Arabidopsis thaliana: one gene and its partner. The protein of the gene in region 2 interacts with the protein of the main gene of each other region in a pairwise test. Each region holds a gene or a part of one and is shown on either strand. Other genes may lie near its edges.

Evidence for each region.
Region 1: the proteins of AT5G43560 (region 2) and HK3 interact in a two-hybrid assay, tested with the Arabidopsis thaliana proteins (one large-scale study listed by BioGRID).

What each region holds. Positions count from the first base shown.
Region 1 is NC_003070.9:9,483,754-9,493,356, forward strand, and holds HK3 (histidine kinase 3), read left to right. Parts: upstream 1-3,135; 5' UTR 3,136-4,026; coding exon 4,027-4,533; intron 4,534-4,814; coding exon 4,815-5,096; intron 5,097-5,298; coding exon 5,299-5,468; intron 5,469-5,556; coding exon 5,557-5,769; intron 5,770-5,865; coding exon 5,866-6,052; intron 6,053-6,145; coding exon 6,146-6,197; intron 6,198-6,311; coding exon 6,312-6,541; intron 6,542-6,629; coding exon 6,630-6,728; intron 6,729-6,814; coding exon 6,815-7,920; intron 7,921-8,009; coding exon 8,010-8,274; 3' UTR 8,275-8,348; intron 8,349-8,442; 3' UTR 8,443-8,879; downstream 8,880-9,603. Other genes in the region: AT1G27300 (uncharacterized protein), read left to right, coding at 1-441; NTF2A (nuclear transport factor 2A), read right to left, coding at 862-933, 1,741-2,037; AT1G27330 (Ribosome associated membrane protein RAMP4), read left to right, coding at 9,311-9,313. UniProt on the Arabidopsis thaliana protein: Cytokinins (CK) receptor related to bacterial two-component regulators. Functions as a histidine kinase and transmits the stress signal to a downstream MAPK cascade.
Region 2 is NC_003076.8:17,497,719-17,506,711, forward strand, and holds AT5G43560 (TRAF-like superfamily protein), read left to right. Parts: upstream 1-2,657; 5' UTR 2,658-2,835; exon of another isoform or gene 2,836-3,320; 5' UTR 3,321-3,324; coding exon 3,325-3,617; intron 3,618-3,695; coding exon 3,696-3,784; intron 3,785-3,863; coding exon 3,864-3,932; intron 3,933-4,003; coding exon 4,004-4,136; intron 4,137-4,322; coding exon 4,323-4,481; intron 4,482-4,671; coding exon 4,672-5,020; intron 5,021-5,147; coding exon 5,148-5,260; intron 5,261-5,511; coding exon 5,512-5,662; intron 5,663-5,758; coding exon 5,759-6,216; intron 6,217-6,294; coding exon 6,295-6,490; intron 6,491-6,650; coding exon 6,651-7,808; 3' UTR 7,809-7,995; downstream 7,996-8,993. Other genes in the region: AT5G43550 (F-box associated ubiquitination effector family protein), read left to right, coding at 174-545; AT5G43570 (Serine protease inhibitor, potato inhibitor I-type family protein), read left to right, coding at 8,736-8,784. UniProt on the Arabidopsis thaliana protein: Functions redundantly with TRAF1B in the regulation of plant immune response. Contributes to the turnover of the nucleotide-binding domain and leucine-rich repeat-containing (NB-LRR) immune receptors SNC1 and RPS2.

The sequences.
Region 1 (9,603 bases), on a different chromosome or scaffold from region 2:
GGGAAAGAAGATGTCATAACCGGAGAAGAAGAAGAAAAAGAAGAAGAATCTGCAGATTCTTCACCATCCAAAGGAAAAAGCGAGGGCCAGAGACAATTGGAAGAAAGTATAGAAGAAATAGCTAAAGACATCAAGAAGGTGAAGAAGCAGAACAAAATAACCCATGTACTTCTCTCGGCTACGATCATCCTGACATTGGTTTGGCAGCTCTCTGAGTACTCCATGATTTTCATGTTGAAAGATAGAATAAGCCACCCAGTCAGATCCATCGGAGGTATGCTTAATGGAATGTTCAAAGGTAAGTTACGTCCAATCAAGAACCAACTTGCGGGGACTTCCAACTCCAATGACCAAAACAACCATGGGAATGGATCACACACTGGACCTCAACTTCAAGTGCCCGAGCTGTTGCGAGAATTCGGTTTCGACGATGAAGAATGATAGCTTCCCTTTGTGACTCAATAATACCAGTTGTTATTTAGGAACAGGGGTCACCCTCATTGTTTCTTTGCTTTTAGTATAAGTAGTTTACTTTTATATGATCAAAATGCGAAAGAATAGTTGCTTTCTCAAACTTTTCCACATGAAAAAGGGTTCCAAAAGAGAACCGTATTTCAAAAAATCTTTTGTTTTACCCTTACTGAATCATGGTTCAGTGCCCGAAAACAAAAGGAGTCATCTCAAACAAAGTAACAAATAGCTCCATTGATTAAAATAAAAACAGACAGCAAACCACCTGAAACAAAGCTTAATGTTCCAAATCTAAAACCAACTCAAACAGTTTTTGAATAGTCCCAAACTTTCCACCACTCTCTTTTCAGCTTCCAATAATGGTTCCATGTACCTCTGGCATCAAATTCCTCAGGCATAGTTCAACCTGAATATGTCATTGAACACGTAGTAGTTTCCCTGATTCGATATCAAATGGAACATCTGGACACAAAACACAAGTATGTCAGGAATCAGGCAAAATCCAAACAACAAGCAGTCATCAGATTTATGTTACAATCATATAGTGATCCAGTGCGTGATTCACAACACAAGAGATGCATACGTAGCTCATTACAAGTAGGTCAAGTTGACAGAAATTCATCCCACTTTGCTCTATACATACATTCCACAAGTTTGATGTTCATACAAATATGATAACAAAACACAATTAGTACCTTGATATGAAGAACTAAAATGACAAAAACATCTCTTATCGAACAAATCTAGTAAAGAGCGTTCAACACTAAAAAGAGAAAACAATGTCTTACGGCAGATGATACAAACACTGCAAGCATCTCAAACTATTTAGAGTTGAGACAATTTAATCAAGAAGGTGGCATATCTACAACTACAACAAGATCACATATGAGCATAGTTGAAAAAAACTAGCAGAATCATGGCAAAGCAGTTTCCCAATACTACATTCACGAAGTGCAAGGAGATAGAAGCTCCACAAGACAAAATCTAAATGACACAAGATTACATCTACTGATCTACGCAATCATTTGGGGGAAACCTCTTTTATCTCCAACCTTATCACAGATCTATCACTAAATGCATCAGGGAGGGTCTAAAATTTCGAGACAATTCCAGATCATTGAAGCTTTTAGTGACCTAATACACACATCAATCTACAGAGCAGTAAGGATAAAAACCCTATCGTACATGATCAACAGCGAGGAATACAAAGGAAACACTAAAAATCGAAGTGATCTAAACCCAAGGGAAAGAGATAAGGCAAAAAAAAACCTGGCTGAACTTGAGAGCGTGTTGTTCACCAGCGAGCTGAAGATTGCCGGAGACAAAGACGAGCATACCACCGGCGGGACCAGAAGGCTGACAATCGACGGTGGTGATGTTGTGCTTACACTGCTGGAAAGGGAGGCCGGTGAGCTTAGCGACGATGTTCTGAGAGCCCTGGATCTTCTGGCCTTCGAAGGTCAACATGGATCCTTCTTGGTATAGAGAAACCAACCCTGGACGATTTGCATCGAAGGTGGAGTAGTAGTGCTCAACGAAAGCCTTTGCAACAGCGTCTGGATCCATCTCTTTCTTCGTCTTCCTTTTTGATCCTTAGCTCTTGCGTCGTGCTTTTTCAACAGGCGAGAGAGGATCGAGAGGGTTAGATAATTTACTGAAAAATTATACGAATGGACCAAGACTAGAGATACTGAAATGAGTGTTTGACGATACTTTAAATGGGCCTTATATTTTTCAAGTTGGGCCCGTTAATATATGGGACAATCAACAGTATAGCTCAATTGGTAAATTGACTAACTTCATTTGATTCCTACACCATTTAAAGATTTTTAATCAAATTCTGATATAACTAAGATAATATTTTAAAGCATTTAACTAACATGGAAAATTATGAAATGAAATATTAATTTTGGATAGAAAATTTAAAACATTTATCTTTGTGAAATAAAAAGAAAGTCTCTTATAATATAACTTGTAAAGTAATCCTTTAAATTCTAAAAGATCTAAAACAAAATGAGTTAAATCCTATGTCTATGTGTTGAATCTGGAAGATCGAGGTGGAAGAAAAAGGATCATGATTCATGGGTGAGAGAACAACCGTTGATTGGTGTGTTTCAACTTTCAAGCAATCCCATTTTAAAAAAATAAATTTATGTAAGCAATTGCAAACAAAATGAAATGATTATGCTTTAAGATATCGACACGTGTAAAACAGATGACGTACCAAGAAAATAAATGATTCTGTATTTTGTTTTAGCCATTTGTTTTTTCTTTAAAGGAAAGTGTATGTTGAAATTGAAAAAACAAACCGAGTTATATATATAGAGTTATTTGACTAAAGAAGGAAGCTTTGGTTAAACTAACTTGTATAATTCTTTTGTGTAGTTTAGTTTTGATAAAATGGCCAAACAATTTTGGTCACTTTACCAACTACTGCAAAAAAACCATTTTCATAATAATAAATTGTAACACGCCTTTTATTTTTATTATTGGAGGGTGAGAACTGAGACCATATATGCCTTTGTTCCCTTCTTGTGGGTCCCTTTAGCCTTTTTTTTTCTTTTGCCTGCGCCGTTTAGTGTTTTTTCTTTTATATATAAATAGAGGTAAGTTATTTTACCAATCATTTGGTGTTATTAATAGTAGTATTAATGAGGTTCTAAACTTGTTTATAAAAATCAGATCTTACTAAACAAACTCAAAGAATCTCAACTATGAACATTTTTCTTCTAGAATCGAGTTTTAACATCATCATCAGCAGGATATAATTTTTTGTGTTTGAATTTTATCTGTATTTTTTTTAGGAGTACATAAGCAGCTTAAGATTAAAATATATATTAATGGAAGTATGAATGAAAAAAGAAAAGAAAGATAATCAGATAATAGAGAGAGAGAGAGAGAGAAGGAAGCAGACATTTGTCTTCCACCATATTCTTCTCATCTTTTCCGATGATAGATTCTTCTTCTTCTTCTTCTTCTACTACTACTTCTGCTCCTCTTTCTTAAGTTTCTCCATTTGATAATTCACTCAAGTCTCCAGCTCCTCTTCTTCTTCTCGTTGCTTTATTCGCTCTCTTTCACTCATCATCATCACACTCAAAGATTTCTGTTGTATTGGAGCAAGCTCTAGCGAATTTTCGTACTCCCCTTGTAGAATTTTAGTTTCCTGTTTTAGATTTCGAGGAATCTCGCTTTGGAAACTTTAAGCTCCTGTTCAAAGTTTCTACCTTTGTTTATTTTGTTTTTGTTTTCTTCTCTCTTATCTTTCGTCATCTTTGATTAAGTAACCACTTTGATCTCTCAATTTCAGCCTTTGGGTTGTCTAATCTGACACGTTCCTCTGTCTTAGCTTTCCTTTTCTCTTCTCGTTTGTGGGAAGCCTACAAGGATTAATTATTAAATACCCAACCCCAAAAAATTCTTCCTTTTTGATTCTCTGATTCGTCCCTTTTTGTACATGGTTTCTGTTTGGTTGTTAGAGCTTCTTGCTGAGTTGAATTGAGCTGGTTGCAATCACTCTGTTTCTTGGGGGTTGATCGTGTATTCAAGTGGTGGATGAGTCTGTTCCATGTGCTAGGGTTTGGTGTCAAGATTGGGCATCTCTTCTGGATGCTATGCTGCTGGTTTGTTTCTTGGTTCGTTGATAATGGGATCGAGGACAAGTCTGGTCTTTTAGTTGGCTCTGTCGGTGATCTTGAGAAGACTAAGATGACTACGTTGAAGAAGAAGAACAAGATGTGGTTCTGGAATAAGATCTCTAGCAGCGGACTCAAGATCCCGAGTTTCTCTTATCAGTTTCTTGGCTCTGTTAAATTCAACAAGGCGTGGTGGAGGAAGCTTGTGGTGGTTTGGGTTGTCTTCTGGGTCTTGGTCTCTATTTGGACGTTTTGGTACTTTAGCTCGCAAGCTATGGAGAAGAGGAAAGAGACGCTAGCTAGTATGTGTGATGAGAGAGCTCGTATGCTGCAGGATCAGTTCAACGTTAGCATGAATCATGTTCAAGCCATGTCTATCTTGATCTCAACCTTCCACCATGGCAAGATTCCTTCTGCTATCGATCAGGTATTCTCGATTCCGCATCTTCTTGTCTTCTAATCTGTTTGGATTGATGCCTGAGATCTAGTCTTGCTTGTAGTACATAAGTTGTTCCTACGGTGTAGTATATGAACGGTCCTTGGATGATGGTAGCTTTTTTCATTCAACTTGCTCTCGAATTTCAGTTAGGATTTACAATTTTGCTGATTGTTGCTTACAGTCTTTGTATTTAGCTAACACTTGGTAGCTTGATTCCTATCTTCTTGAGTATTAGTGAACAGTAACTAACATTAAGAAGCTTTGTGTAGAGAACATTCTCAGAGTACACTGATAGAACTTCCTTTGAGAGGCCTCTTACTAGCGGGGTAGCTTATGCTATGAGGGTGCTCCATTCAGAGAGGGAAGAGTTCGAGAGGCAACAAGGTTGGACTATTAGGAAGATGTATTCTCTTGAACAAAACCCAGTTCACAAGGATGACTATGACCTGGAAGCTTTGGAACCATCCCCTGTCCAAGAAGAGTACGCTCCAGTCATCTTTGCTCAGGACACTGTTTCTCACGTTGTTTCTCTCGATATGCTGTCTGGGAAAGTAAGCTTCTTTACTGGTTCTAATTTTACTGTTTTTATGTAATTTACTATCATGGTCTACACTCACTACCGGGCGAATCCTGCCGACATGGCTAGTTCATATTTCAATCTCGGCTTACCGATTAAGTTGTTTTGATCATTTTATTTAAAGTTTAGAGCACTGTTTTAACTGATACTTATTCTCACTCAATTCCTCTTGATAGGAAGATCGTGAAAACGTTTTGCGGGCCAGGAGTTCAGGTAAAGGGGTTTTGACAGCTCCTTTCCCATTGATAAAGACAAATAGACTTGGGGTGATCCTGACATTTGCAGTGTACAAGAGAGATCTCCCCTCCAATGCAACGCCAAAAGAGAGAATTGAGGCTACTAACGGGTGTGTAGCATAGGCGTCTAAATAAATAATAACGCATAAGTTTTACAACATTATTTTTGCTCATTCATCTCTTTTGATGCCCCTGAAGGTATCTCGGGGGAGTGTTTGACATTGAGTCCCTGGTAGAAAACTTGCTTCAACAGCTGGCTAGCAAGCAAACGATTCTTGTCAATGTGTACGATATCACCAATCACTCTCAACCGATTAGCATGTATGGTACAAATGTGTCGGCTGATGGGTTGGAACGTGTTAGTCCACTAATCTTTGGCGATCCATTGAGAAAGCATGAGATGCGTTGCAGGTACTTGCAGTTGGCACATACATATGTCTGTAATTTCTTCTTGTTTGCAAGAATCCAGGTGCTAACATTTTGTTGTGAGCTTCTTCCTCTTTGTAGATTTAAGCAGAAACCACCATGGCCAGTGCTATCAATGGTGACATCATTCGGTATCCTTGTGATTGCGTTACTTGTTGCACATATAATCCACGCAACCGTTAGTCGAATACACAAAGTTGAAGAAGATTGTGATAAAATGAAGCAGCTCAAGAAAAAGGCTGAAGCAGCAGATGTTGCAAAGTCACAGGTAAATACATCATCCTCAGTTGATAAATTTCCACAGCATATTAAACTTTCTATGACAGAGAGAAGAGTTGTAATCTAACTTTTTTTTATGCAGTTCCTTGCCACTGTTTCACATGAAATCAGAACTCCAATGAATGGTGTTCTAGGTGAGTATCGAAATGGCCACTATGTTGCCTCCTTCTCTCACCTATGCCCATGAATATTTTCTGAAGAACAAACTTAACCAAATATTCTCATGTTGACTTTGATCTGGGGTGTAGGAATGTTGCATATGCTTATGGACACAGAGTTAGATGTTACGCAACAGGATTATGTTAGGACCGCACAGGCAAGTGGAAAAGCTTTAGTCTCGCTAATAAATGAGGTTTTGGACCAAGCAAAGATTGAATCTGGAAAGCTTGAACTTGAGGAGGTGCGGTTTGATTTGAGAGGAATATTAGATGATGTCCTGTCACTCTTCTCTAGCAAGTCCCAACAAAAGGGGGTGGAGGTAACTTACTATATGATCTGCAAAGCAAGGGTTGTAACTGATAGCAAGTCTTTCTTACTGATTTTTTGAGTGTTGCTGATGAACGCAGTTGGCAGTATACATATCTGATCGTGTTCCAGATATGTTAATTGGTGATCCTGGGAGGTTTCGACAAATACTCACAAATCTTATGGGTAATTCCATTAAGGTAAACTTTTTTATTATGTTTTTTTCTGACCATTCCTTGCATCCGAGTTGATCAACGGAGCTGATCATTTATATATATTCTGGCAGTTCACTGAGAAAGGACACATCTTTGTAACTGTTCATTTGGTGGATGAGCTATTTGAATCTATCGATGGAGAGACAGCATCATCTCCGGAAAGTACACTGAGTGGGCTTCCAGTTGCAGACCGGCAGAGGAGCTGGGAAAACTTTAAAGCTTTCAGCTCCAACGGGCATCGGAGCTTTGAACCATCTCCCCCTGATATAAACCTAATCGTCTCAGTTGAGGATACTGGCGTAGGGATCCCTGTAGAAGCGCAGTCCCGTATTTTTACGCCTTTCATGCAAGTCGGACCATCCATATCCAGGACGCATGGAGGCACAGGAATTGGACTTAGCATAAGCAAATGTCTAGTTGGACTGATGAAGGGAGAAATTGGATTCTCGAGTACTCCCAAGGTTGGGTCCACATTCACATTTACTGCTGTATTTTCCAATGGGATGCAACCAGCTGAAAGAAAGAATGACAACAACCAGCCCATATTCTCGGAATTCCGGGGCATGAAAGCTGTGGTTGTGGACCATAGGCCTGCAAGGGCAAAAGTCTCGTGGTACCATTTTCAGCGTCTTGGAATTCGAGTCGAAGTAGTTCCACGTGTTGAACAGGCTCTACATTATCTGAAGATTGGTACTACCACTGTGAATATGATACTCATAGAGCAAGAAATATGGAATAGGGAAGCAGATGATTTCATTAAAAAGCTACAGAAAGACCCTCTTTTCCTTTCTCCTAAGTTGATTTTGTTAGCAAACTCAGTAGAATCGTCAATATCAGAGGCTTTATGCACCGGTATAGATCCTCCAATAGTGATAGTGAAACCATTGAGGGCGAGTATGCTAGCAGCAACTTTGCAGAGGGGATTGGGTATTGGAATCAGAGAACCACCTCAACACAAGGGACCTCCTGCTTTGATTCTCAGGAATCTTCTCCTTGGTAGAAAAATTTTAATCGTGGATGATAACAACGTAAACCTCAGAGTGGCAGCGGGAGCTCTGAAAAAGTACGGAGCTGATGTGGTCTGCGCTGAGAGTGGGATAAAGGCAATCTCATTGCTTAAGCCACCTCACGAGTTTGATGCTTGCTTCATGGACATTCAGATGCCAGAAATGGATGGGTATGCCTGATTGGTATACTAGTTTTTTTGAAAAGTTCGAAATATGTAATAAGAAAATTGAAATGTTTTTCTGCCCTGTCTTTCTGCAGATTTGAAGCTACAAGGAGAATACGAGATATGGAAGAGGAGATGAACAAGAGAATAAAGAATGGGGAGGCTTTGATAGTAGAGAACGGTAACAAAACAAGCTGGCATCTTCCGGTATTAGCAATGACGGCAGATGTGATCCAAGCAACGCATGAGGAATGTCTGAAGTGTGGAATGGATGGGTATGTATCAAAACCATTTGAAGCAGAGCAGCTGTACAGGGAAGTTTCTCGCTTTTTCAATTCGCCTTCAGATACAGAATCATAAGAGGAGATGGGGCTGGAAGAAGAACAGCGAAGGAAACACAAAAACTCGTGTCTCCTATGCATCTTGAAGTAGTAGTAAGCCGCCTATATTCCTCCTCTCTATATATTTACTCACCTAAAAACATGTCTTCTCAACTGACAGTAACGCCTTATGTGAACTTGTTTATAGGAAAAACAGATTGACGATTGCAAAAAGAGTGTATATAGAAAGGCCGGTGTGACCAGGCCAAGAACTTAGGACCAGTACTTTCTCCTGTAAATTTTTTTTCTACATTTTTCTCTGGTCTGATTGAGACAACAAAACTTGTGGTATGTAGATGAGAGTAGCAGCTGGAATATATTCAGAGTTGCTTTGGACAGGGAAGAGAGCATCATAGTATGTGTGTAAAAGTGTGTGTGCATGATTTAGGATATTTCTTCTTGTATTAGAGAACAGTGCTGCAGTTTCTTTGTTATCATCATGGTCCAAGATAGGGAAGTGGACATTACTACTTATACATACACTGGCTTTGTGATATAAAGTTGAAGATAGCTTTTACTTTCTCTTCCCCTTCTTTACGTACAATGCATATTGGAACCAAAACCAAATGATCGGACCGAATCAAGAAACAGAACCGAATGTCTTCAAATAGTTGTGTTTTGTGTCCAACTAAATTCACGTAGAAGAACTATAGAAACGTGGACCCCAAAACGTGAGTGTGGTTGTTTGACTTTTAAACACGTCCGTGAGATTTTCAGATTGACCTTTAGGTCACATTTTTGTCCACCACATCAACATGAGAGGGCTTTTCTCAAGCATTTCAATAATCGGAATCCAATCACTGACCGCCACGTGGACATCATACGTCTCAATAACCAATCATAGAATGGTTGTGACGACGTTCACGGTGAGTTGCAGTACCCGATCCCTTTTAAGGTCCGTGACAGAATAATTTTGAAACCAGCAAGACAAATTTAGTCAAACCAAAAAAAAAAAAAAAACGAAAGCGCAAAGACTAAGGAGAAAAGAAATTCTTCGCTTCTTCTCCGGTGTAATCATGGTATAGCCCGCGATCTCGATTGTTTCTTATTATCGGTATTCATGTTATATTAGCTAGAATTGTGTTTTGTACCTCCGATCTGATTCACAGATTCAGTATGTGAAATTCATTATTTTGAGGATTTGATCGTCTTATCAATGATTTAATCTATGTTTGAATATTGTTGAATCACGGGCAATTTCGCATCACGCCAAAAGAATTGTATCTAACAGATGCGAAAAAGTTTGAATCTGTTTTCGAAATGTAGTTATTCAAATTAGCTGAGTTTTTGTCTTGATAGTATGTATTGT
Region 2 (8,993 bases):
ATCTGTCCCCTGTAAACGGATTAATATGCTGCACCCGTGGTTCTAGGATTGCGGTTTTTAATCCCACCACTGGCGGTTTGGTGGTATTGCCCCATGTTAAAGCCAACGGAAGAGACATCTACACACGTCTCGGATACGATCCTGTCGATGATCAATACAAAATTTTGTGTGTGATGATGTTCCTTAAGTGTGACGACGGCCATAGACAATACGTTATAGAACAAGAGCATCTGGTTTTATCACTAACATCACACTCATCGTCGTGGAGAAAGATCGAGATCTCGGGAGATGCTTACTCCTACTTAGAAGGTGGGATTTGCATCAATAGTGCTATATACTATGGTGTTGGACATACAAAGATAGCTAGATTTAATATTAGATCCGAGAAGATAATGTTTATTCAAGCACCAGAGGATTATAATGCAATCTCATGTTATTCAACCCTTACAAATTACAAAGGAAAATTAGCATGTGTAAGCTATGACTCCTATTGTGAATCTAAGTTGCGTGTATGGATTCTACACGATGTTGAGAAAGAAGAATAGTCAAGCATCATGACTTGTGTTGTGCCTTGTGACAAGGAGCTATCTTTGTGCAGTGGAGAGAGTCATAACAACGAGGTTGTAGTGGTATCTAGATGCTTAAAGTCATCTAAGCACTTTTTTGTTTACTATTTCGATATGGTCAGAGAGAGTATCATCAGAAGAATTGAGGTTGAGATTGATGGAATCGCCGATTATGAGTTTAGACATATCAATGGAATTGGTAAACATGCTCCTAGGATTTTGTGTTTCCCTGGTCACATTGAGAATCTTATGTACTTGTAAGTTCTAAGTTCTACTCTACCATAAGTTCATTAGCTTCTATTTTCATTTTTAGCCGTTTCAAATCGTTTTTTGTAGTTTGGTTACTTGTTCATGGACTCCTTTTAGCCGTTTGTTTTCTCGAACGCCACAACTACGTCTACCATTAGTCATGGACTCATGGTGATCACCTAATGTAAATGAAGCACGAGTTTACCAAATTACAATGACTGTAAATTAATATTTTCATTCAGTTTGAATGGTCAACGCAAATACGGCATTTCTTTAGATGGGCTTATAACGATAATGGGTTACGAACGGCTTATAGCCCATTCAAAGTTCTTATCTTTCAATTTCAAGTAATTTGCTTTCAAGCCCTTCGAATCTACCAAATTCCAATGACTGTAAATTATTTTTTTTTCCCCTCAAAATACATATTTACAAATATTAATTTACTTATGTATACAGACATTAAAAGGCACTAAAATAAGCTAATTATCATGATATAAAAGTAACTCAAGAGGAAAAGTAACTAAGCTTACATGTAATTCATAATTAGGTGACATCAAATTTACTATTTTTTAATTTTCTGCTGAATTTTTTTATTTATTAAATATACTTATTAATATCGAGATGTCTAATAAATATGAGAGAGTGTTTAAAAAAGAGTTTAGACATCGACATGAGACAAACAAAAAATGAAAAATAGTGGTACAAAATACAGATATATAACTTGAAAAAATAAATATAATTTATCAACACAAATACAAGTCCTAATCTGTTATTTATAAATTAATAATCTCAAAATATTACTTTGATATAAAATCAGTGTTCGTGTAATCTATCATTTATGCGATTTTTTAAAGAGATAACAATTTTTTTTTCTTTAGTGAAACATTAATATACCGTTTATTTAGTATGTTAAGTACTTTAATAAAACTCTTTAACAAAACAAAACAAAGTTAAGTATTTTTTAATATATAAGATATTTCTCTGCATGATCCAGGTGGAATTTTTTTAAAAGTTAACAATAGTTTTTTTTTTATAGTAAAACATGAATTTTGTTTGATTATTCCATTAGATAACAACTATTTTTCTTCTTGACAAAAAAGACAAATTTTTTTTAAGTAAAACGTTAATATCTCGTTTGTTTTATTCCGTTAAATAATTGAAATATATAAAATATTTTCCCGCATGATTCACGTGGATTTTTTTAAAAGGTAACATTTTGTTTTCTTAAGTAAACATGAATTTCGTTTGGTTATTCCGTTAGATGCTTTTAATGTATACATAATAATTATCCGCTTGATTTATGTAATTTTTTTTAAATGTAACAATTGTTTTCTCTTAAGTAAAATATGTATATCTCGTAGATTTATTCCGTTAGATAATTTTGATATATAAAATATTTTCCGCAAAATTTACATAGAATATTAAGAAAAGATCACAAAAAACAGAAATTTTGTTTGTTTATTCCGTTATATACTTAATATGTAAAATATTTTCCTCTTGATATACATATTTCAAAACGCTAATATCTCGTTTGGTTATTCTGTTAAATACTTTAATATATAAAATAATTTTTCTCGGATATATTTTTAAATATACATAAAATTTCTCTTTTAAGTTTTAAGTAAAAAAATAATAAATCTTTCGTTTGCCTTTTTATGAAAATATAGATTAAACTAATTGATGACAAGAAAAGACATTAGTTTTCTTATTACCATATTGATGATTTCATCTCTTTCTCTTGTAATACAAAATGGATAAAAAAAGAACAGAGCAGAAATGAAAACATGAACGTTATATATAAATATGTCATGAATGAAAAAATAACTATTAAAACAAATTAAATTTAAGGTTAAAATTTGTTCTCTCTGTTTCGCTGTGTTTTTTCTTCTTTCTTACAATCTCTCCATTTCTCTCTCTTCCGTCTCTTTTTTTATCTCTCTCTCTAGAATCTTGAAGAGAGCGAGCTTCCATTAAAATCTCATTCTAACGATCTCCAAGCTCTTTCTTCAATCATCTCCAGGTTTGCTTCGATCTACACGGCGTCGTTTACACGTCTCCTTCAAATCTTTCTTCCTTACTTCTCCGATTTCAATTTCGTGCCGTTTTTTTTTTGAGTTTTCCGATCGCTGATTTCTTCAAATATTTATCGAATTTTTTTTCAATGTTTTCTGTTTGTAAATTCTCTGTAATTCAATTAATTGAATCGAATAATTTTGTCTCTCTTGCATTTCCTCAGCTCCAGCTTTTGTTTTTATTAGTTTCTAAGATTGCTTTTTGTTTTTAGGGTTTATTCTCAATTCTTATATAGTTTTTGAGGTTTTTGGTGTATTGATTTGATTCATGTGAGTGAGTGATTGATTTAGAATCTTTGTTGAGCTGTGACTGTGATTTAGATTTGATTCACTTCAGCTATAATTCTTTGTTTTGATGATGATTATGATAAATTCGTAATTTTGAGCTTATTTGAATTCATTAACTAATTTAGTATGATGAAATCTTAATCAGGGGAATGTCAGAGAGTACTAATGAAGATAGTGGAGCAGGAAGATCATCACTGGAAGAGAATTCAAATGGACAAAGAAGTCAATCAGAAGAAGCAATCGCTGAGTGGCGTTCTTCTGAACAAGTTGAGAATGGAACTCCTTCTACATCTCCACCGTATTGGGACATCGATGATGATGACGATTTTGGATCAAAACCATCTCAACTATTTGGGAAAAATACTTGGACGATTGAGAAATTTTCAGATATCAACAAACGAGAGCTCCGCGGCGATGTTTTTGAAGTCGGGGGTTACAAATGGTAAGAATGATCACTAAACCTTGTTGAGTACTTTTCCTTAACAAAATGTTTGATATTCCTCTTGTGGTGGTGGTGTAGGTATATATTAATTTATCCACAAGGGTGTGATGTTTGCAACCATCTCTCTTTGTTTCTATGTGTTGCACACCATGAAAAGCTTCTTCCAGGTGAGTATATTGTGTTGTCTATTTAGCTACACACTCTTGAAACCGGGAACCTTATCGTTTAGGTTTATCTTTGAGACAGGCTGGAGTCATTTTGCTCAGTTTACTATAGCTGTGTCGAATAAAGATCCGAAGAAGTCAAAGCATTCAGGTTACATTTTGCATCTTTTGATTTCTTTATATCGTATTTACGCAGTCGAACTGAACAGGGTTTTCTTACAGATACGTTACACCGGTTTTGGAAGAAAGAGCATGATTGGGGTTGGAAGAAATTTATTGAGTTACCTAAATTGAAGGAAGGGTTTATAGATGATTCTGGTTGTCTTACAATTAAAGCTCAAGTGCAGGTGATCAGGTAAATGCAAGATTGAGTTTTAGCTAAAGTCATCATGTGTCAGACATCCTCCCATTAACATACATCTACACGTGTTTAAAAACGTTCCTGACCAAATATGCACATTGCAACAAAACTTATGCTCGCTTCAATTTATTTGATTTTATTTGTCGCATTGTGGATAATTCTGTAAATTGATTCTTGCAGAGAGAGAGTGGACCGACCTTTTCGCTGCCTTCATTATAAATATAGGGAGGAACTTGTTAGGGTGTATTTGGGAAATGTAGAGCAAATTTGCTGGCGGTTTGTGGAAGAGAAAAGAAGCAAGCTTGGTAGGTTGATAGAGGACAAGGCAAAATGGAAAAGGTATTCCACATTTTTACACTCAACTCCTCCAAATTCCAGAAATGAAATCAAAAATAGCTGTAGAGACTGGGTTGATTCCAATCTAGTGTAGTACTGCACTTTTTTTTTTTTTTTTTTACTTCTTGCTAATCTTCCTTCAAAGTTTGAGGTGTTTGCATGATAAGGAAGTGATTGTTATTTCTTGGTGCAGCTTCTGTGCTTTCTGGATGGGGTTGGACCAAAATTCAAGGCGTCGAATGTCCCGAGAGAAAATGGATGTGATTCTAAAAATAGTTGTAAAACACTTCTTTGTCGAGAAGGAAGTTACATCTACTTTGGTGATGGATTCCTTGTATAGTGGATTGAAGGCTCTTGAAGGCCAAAATAAGAACAAGGAGAGTAGGCCGAGACTAATGGATACTGAAGAATCCACAGCTCCAATTGTTAGCGTGGACAAAGATTCGTTTGCATTAGTTGATGATGTGTTATTACTCTTAGAGAAGGCTGCTCTGGAGCCATTGCCTAAAAAAGAGGAAAAGAGTTCTCAAAACCGTACGAAGGTTAGTTTCTTTGTTATTGTATTTTATTGATTGAAGTTCATGATTTACTCTCCTGTGTGGTGGTGCTTTTTGACTTTTTGTTATACATGTAAAAATGCTTGAAACATGAGCACTTGTCCTTATCTAGGATGGGAATGCTGGAGAGGAATTCAGTAGAGAAGCCGTTGAGCGTGATGATAGGCGTTTAACTGAATTGGGTAGACGGACTGTGGAGATATTTGTTCTTGCACATATCTTCAGGTAATAAGGCATAATTTTTCCTCTTTGTTTTTTTATTTGGTGCACCAGGCATAATTTTGCCTTTGCTTTAAAATTTCCATACAAGTGAATCATAAGCACATAATTTGTTTACAAGCTAAGACATGCGTGACGATCTTATTCTGAAACCGCTGATAGTGTTTATTTTGTATTTCTGGTCTTCTGGTATTGTGTGTCTTTGTGTTCTTAGCTGTACCTCATGTATAGCACTGCAATCTTTCTGAGAAATGCAGCAACAAAATTGAAGTTGCATACCAAGAAGCTATTGCATGGAAAAGGCAAGAAGAACTTATTCGTGAAGAAGAGGAAGCGTGGCTGGCAGAAAGCGAACAGAAGGGCAAAAGAGGAGCATCTGAAAAAGAGAAGAAATCTAAGAAGAAACAGGTCCGTCCTTACACTTCTGTTACTTCCAAAATAGATAATGCCATTAACGACTAGTTGGGGTGCTAATGGAGATTCTTATTGTTTTGGAACTCATAGGCGAAACAGAAAAAGAACAAAAACAAAGGAAAGGAAATGAGGAAAGAAGACAAGGTGAGAACCCAAACAGAAGAAAGGGAAATTGAGAAAGAGGAATGTGTGAGAGCGATAGCAGAATCGTCAGCTGAAAAACCTGACACACTTGGAGATGTCTCTGACGTGTCTGATTCAGTAGATAGTTCAGCTGAAATACTTCAGCTTGATTCAGAAGATAGAGAGAGTAGTCCTGTTCATTGGGAAATGGATGCCTCAGAGGTTCATCCTCCTTCTGCAGGAGACACTAGCAGAGGAAGAGGCAATTCTTTTTCTATACCTAATGGAGTTGCAGAAAGAAAGGGTCTGTCCACAATGGATGATAGTTCTTCAACCTGTTCTAATGACTCGATTCAATCAGGGGTAGCCAATGGGTCATACAAAGGGAATGTATTAAATTGCCAAAGCCAAAAGTGGTTTAGCAAGTAAGTAAACTTTTTTTGAACTTTCCTTTAAGTTATTTGTTTGTTCCACATCCGGATAACATACCTTGTGATGTGCAGTGGAAAAATACAACCAGGAAAAGTATCTGATTCCAACAGTTTAGCCAGTGAAAAAGAGCATCAACCTTCAAGACTTGCATCTGACCCTAAAAATCAGAGCCATTCTTCTGATATACGCAGAGTTGGTGAAGCTGACATAGTTATCTCCCACATTCAAAAACCAGAGAGCCCTAAGGAACGTAGTCCTGTTAGCAAGGTGGTTTACTCTTTCCTTTTGAAGTTGCAATGTTGGAACTTGGAAGTTATATATATAAAAGAGGGAAGCTAAATTCCAAAGAATTCGTGTTGGTTTACCTTTCAATCCATTTTAGAGTGATATGCTTATCAACATTGAATGACTATATCTTATTTTGCAGGATCCCAACATGATTCAGATGAAAGAGAAAAGTGCTGCGGTACTTTCCCCATCCAGAGCTGCTCCTTGGAATCCTCCGTCTCCAGTGCAAGCAAAACCGGAGAAAAAGGGTGTTTCAAATGTAGAGGCGGTTCCAAACAGGAAAGTCATATCTGTTAAATCACCTTCATCACATCATGCATCACCATCTCGTGAAGCTCAGTTGCAAACAGTGGGTCCTAGAGCTGATATACAGAAAATCGCTTCTCCGAAACCTGTGGAACAACCAGCACCTCCTATGTCAAGGCCTTTGAGTGCTCCTATAATCCCTCCAACGCAAGCTGCACCTGTAATATCTGCTGTTCAAACCTCGACTGCGTCCCTTGCTCGTTCAATGAGCTCAACAGGGCGTTTAGGTTCACCGACACATAGCCAAGCTTACAATCCTCAATCCTACAAACATGCCATAGTGGGTTCATCTGGTTTCACCCACCCAAGCTCTCAATCGAGTGGAACAAGCACATTGCCGCCTTATTCACATCCGTCTCCTATCTCAGTATCAAATCAGTCTGGTTTCCCTATCAATGTTGGCTCTTGGGATGTTTCTTCTGGTGGGCTATTGTGGACCGGTGGTTCGAGTTCAACCAGAGATACAACAACAACCATCAGCGGGAATCACAAAACAAACACTTACAACGCACCCGTAGTAACTACCAGCATCAGGCCTACTAATGTTCAGATAGGGAGAACGGCACAGAGTCTGATGACCGATGAGTTCCCTCACCTTGATATCATCAATGATCTGCTTGCAGACGAACACGGTACAATGGATAATAGCGTATACCGTGTACCACAACAGTTCAACAACCAGTACTCATATCATGGCGGTGCGGATCTCGGGATCTCTAGCAGGTCTAGGAGTTACAGTGATGATGGATTTCACCAGTCTTACGGTGAATACATGCCACATTCTGCTTCTTCCTCGCCATATGGTAATGGGCAAACACAATCGCAATGGCAGATGGCAAATATGGATTTCTCTTTACCGGCTATGAGGAACCAAGACGATGTATCAGCATCAGCAACAGCTACTTACTCTTACTTTGATTTAGATTCATCAAACCCGAATTTGTCTGGAATCAACGGCTATAGGGACTTCAGGCCATCGAACGGACACTGAGGTTTGGGTTTAAAGAGTGGCATTGCATTGTAATGTTTATTATATAAAGATGGAAAGCAAAAAACATTTGTGTAAAGAGAGTTTTCGTCCTCTTCGTTTCAAATGAATCCTTTTTTCTCTATAGGTTTTATTTTCTTTAATAATATAACAATTTTTAAGTTAATTGATCCTCAAATTAAAGTTTCAGAGTCAGCTTATCTTCATTTGGAGTATTTAAATGTGCGAATGCAAATGCGGTTGTGGATAGAACTATGACGAACAAAGTCAACTTGAACTATTCATATATGAATGGTTGTCTTTTTTTCTTTCCACAAAAATATTCAATACAAAAAAAGGCAGAAGATATATATGACCTGCATGACATCGAAACACTTTTTTTAGATGAAAGACTTCACCACGGAAAAATATTATGATTTGTATATAAAATGTATAACTAAAAGATAGATTGTGTGGAAGAAAACTTAGGGCAATAATTTCTTACGTAAAATGGCCACCAATTTCAGAAATATACGCTAGATTAATTCACGAGAGCCTACGGTCTACATACCGTAATCAAACCACCCACGACTTGCCCGATTAAACATTATCATTTTTTTCCTGAAAAGTTATTAATATTATAGTTATATTGTTCACACATTTTCATGTGTCACATGTCCTTTATCTATCTCGGATGTGTATCTACTATCTAAAGTAGGTGAAAATGTTGACAATATATAATTGAAAATTTTGAAAACAATATCACGTTGGGTCAAAAGCGTACGAATCTCTCTTTCTTTCTCCACGTTTTCATGTATACATATCTTACAGAAAGTGGATAGCCACCACGTCCACATGAATTCTCTATAAATAGCCATTTGGTTTTTTACAATCTTCATAAATCATAACCTCCCAAAGAAGGAAGAGAGAGAAAAAAAGAGAGGAAGAGAAATGTCGGACGTTTGCCAAAGTATTATAGATATACACCATCATTTAACATGTATATATAGTTTATATTCGAATAGAATTTCAATTTTATAAAGAAGTAATATACGTTTTCTATTTGACAAAGTGTAATATATTTTTTTAATAGGTATATTTTGGAATTCCTAAATTTCTATTACTTTCTTAACACATCAATATATATATATATATATATATATATATATATATATATATATTGTTGTTGAGACGATTCTGATACCTATT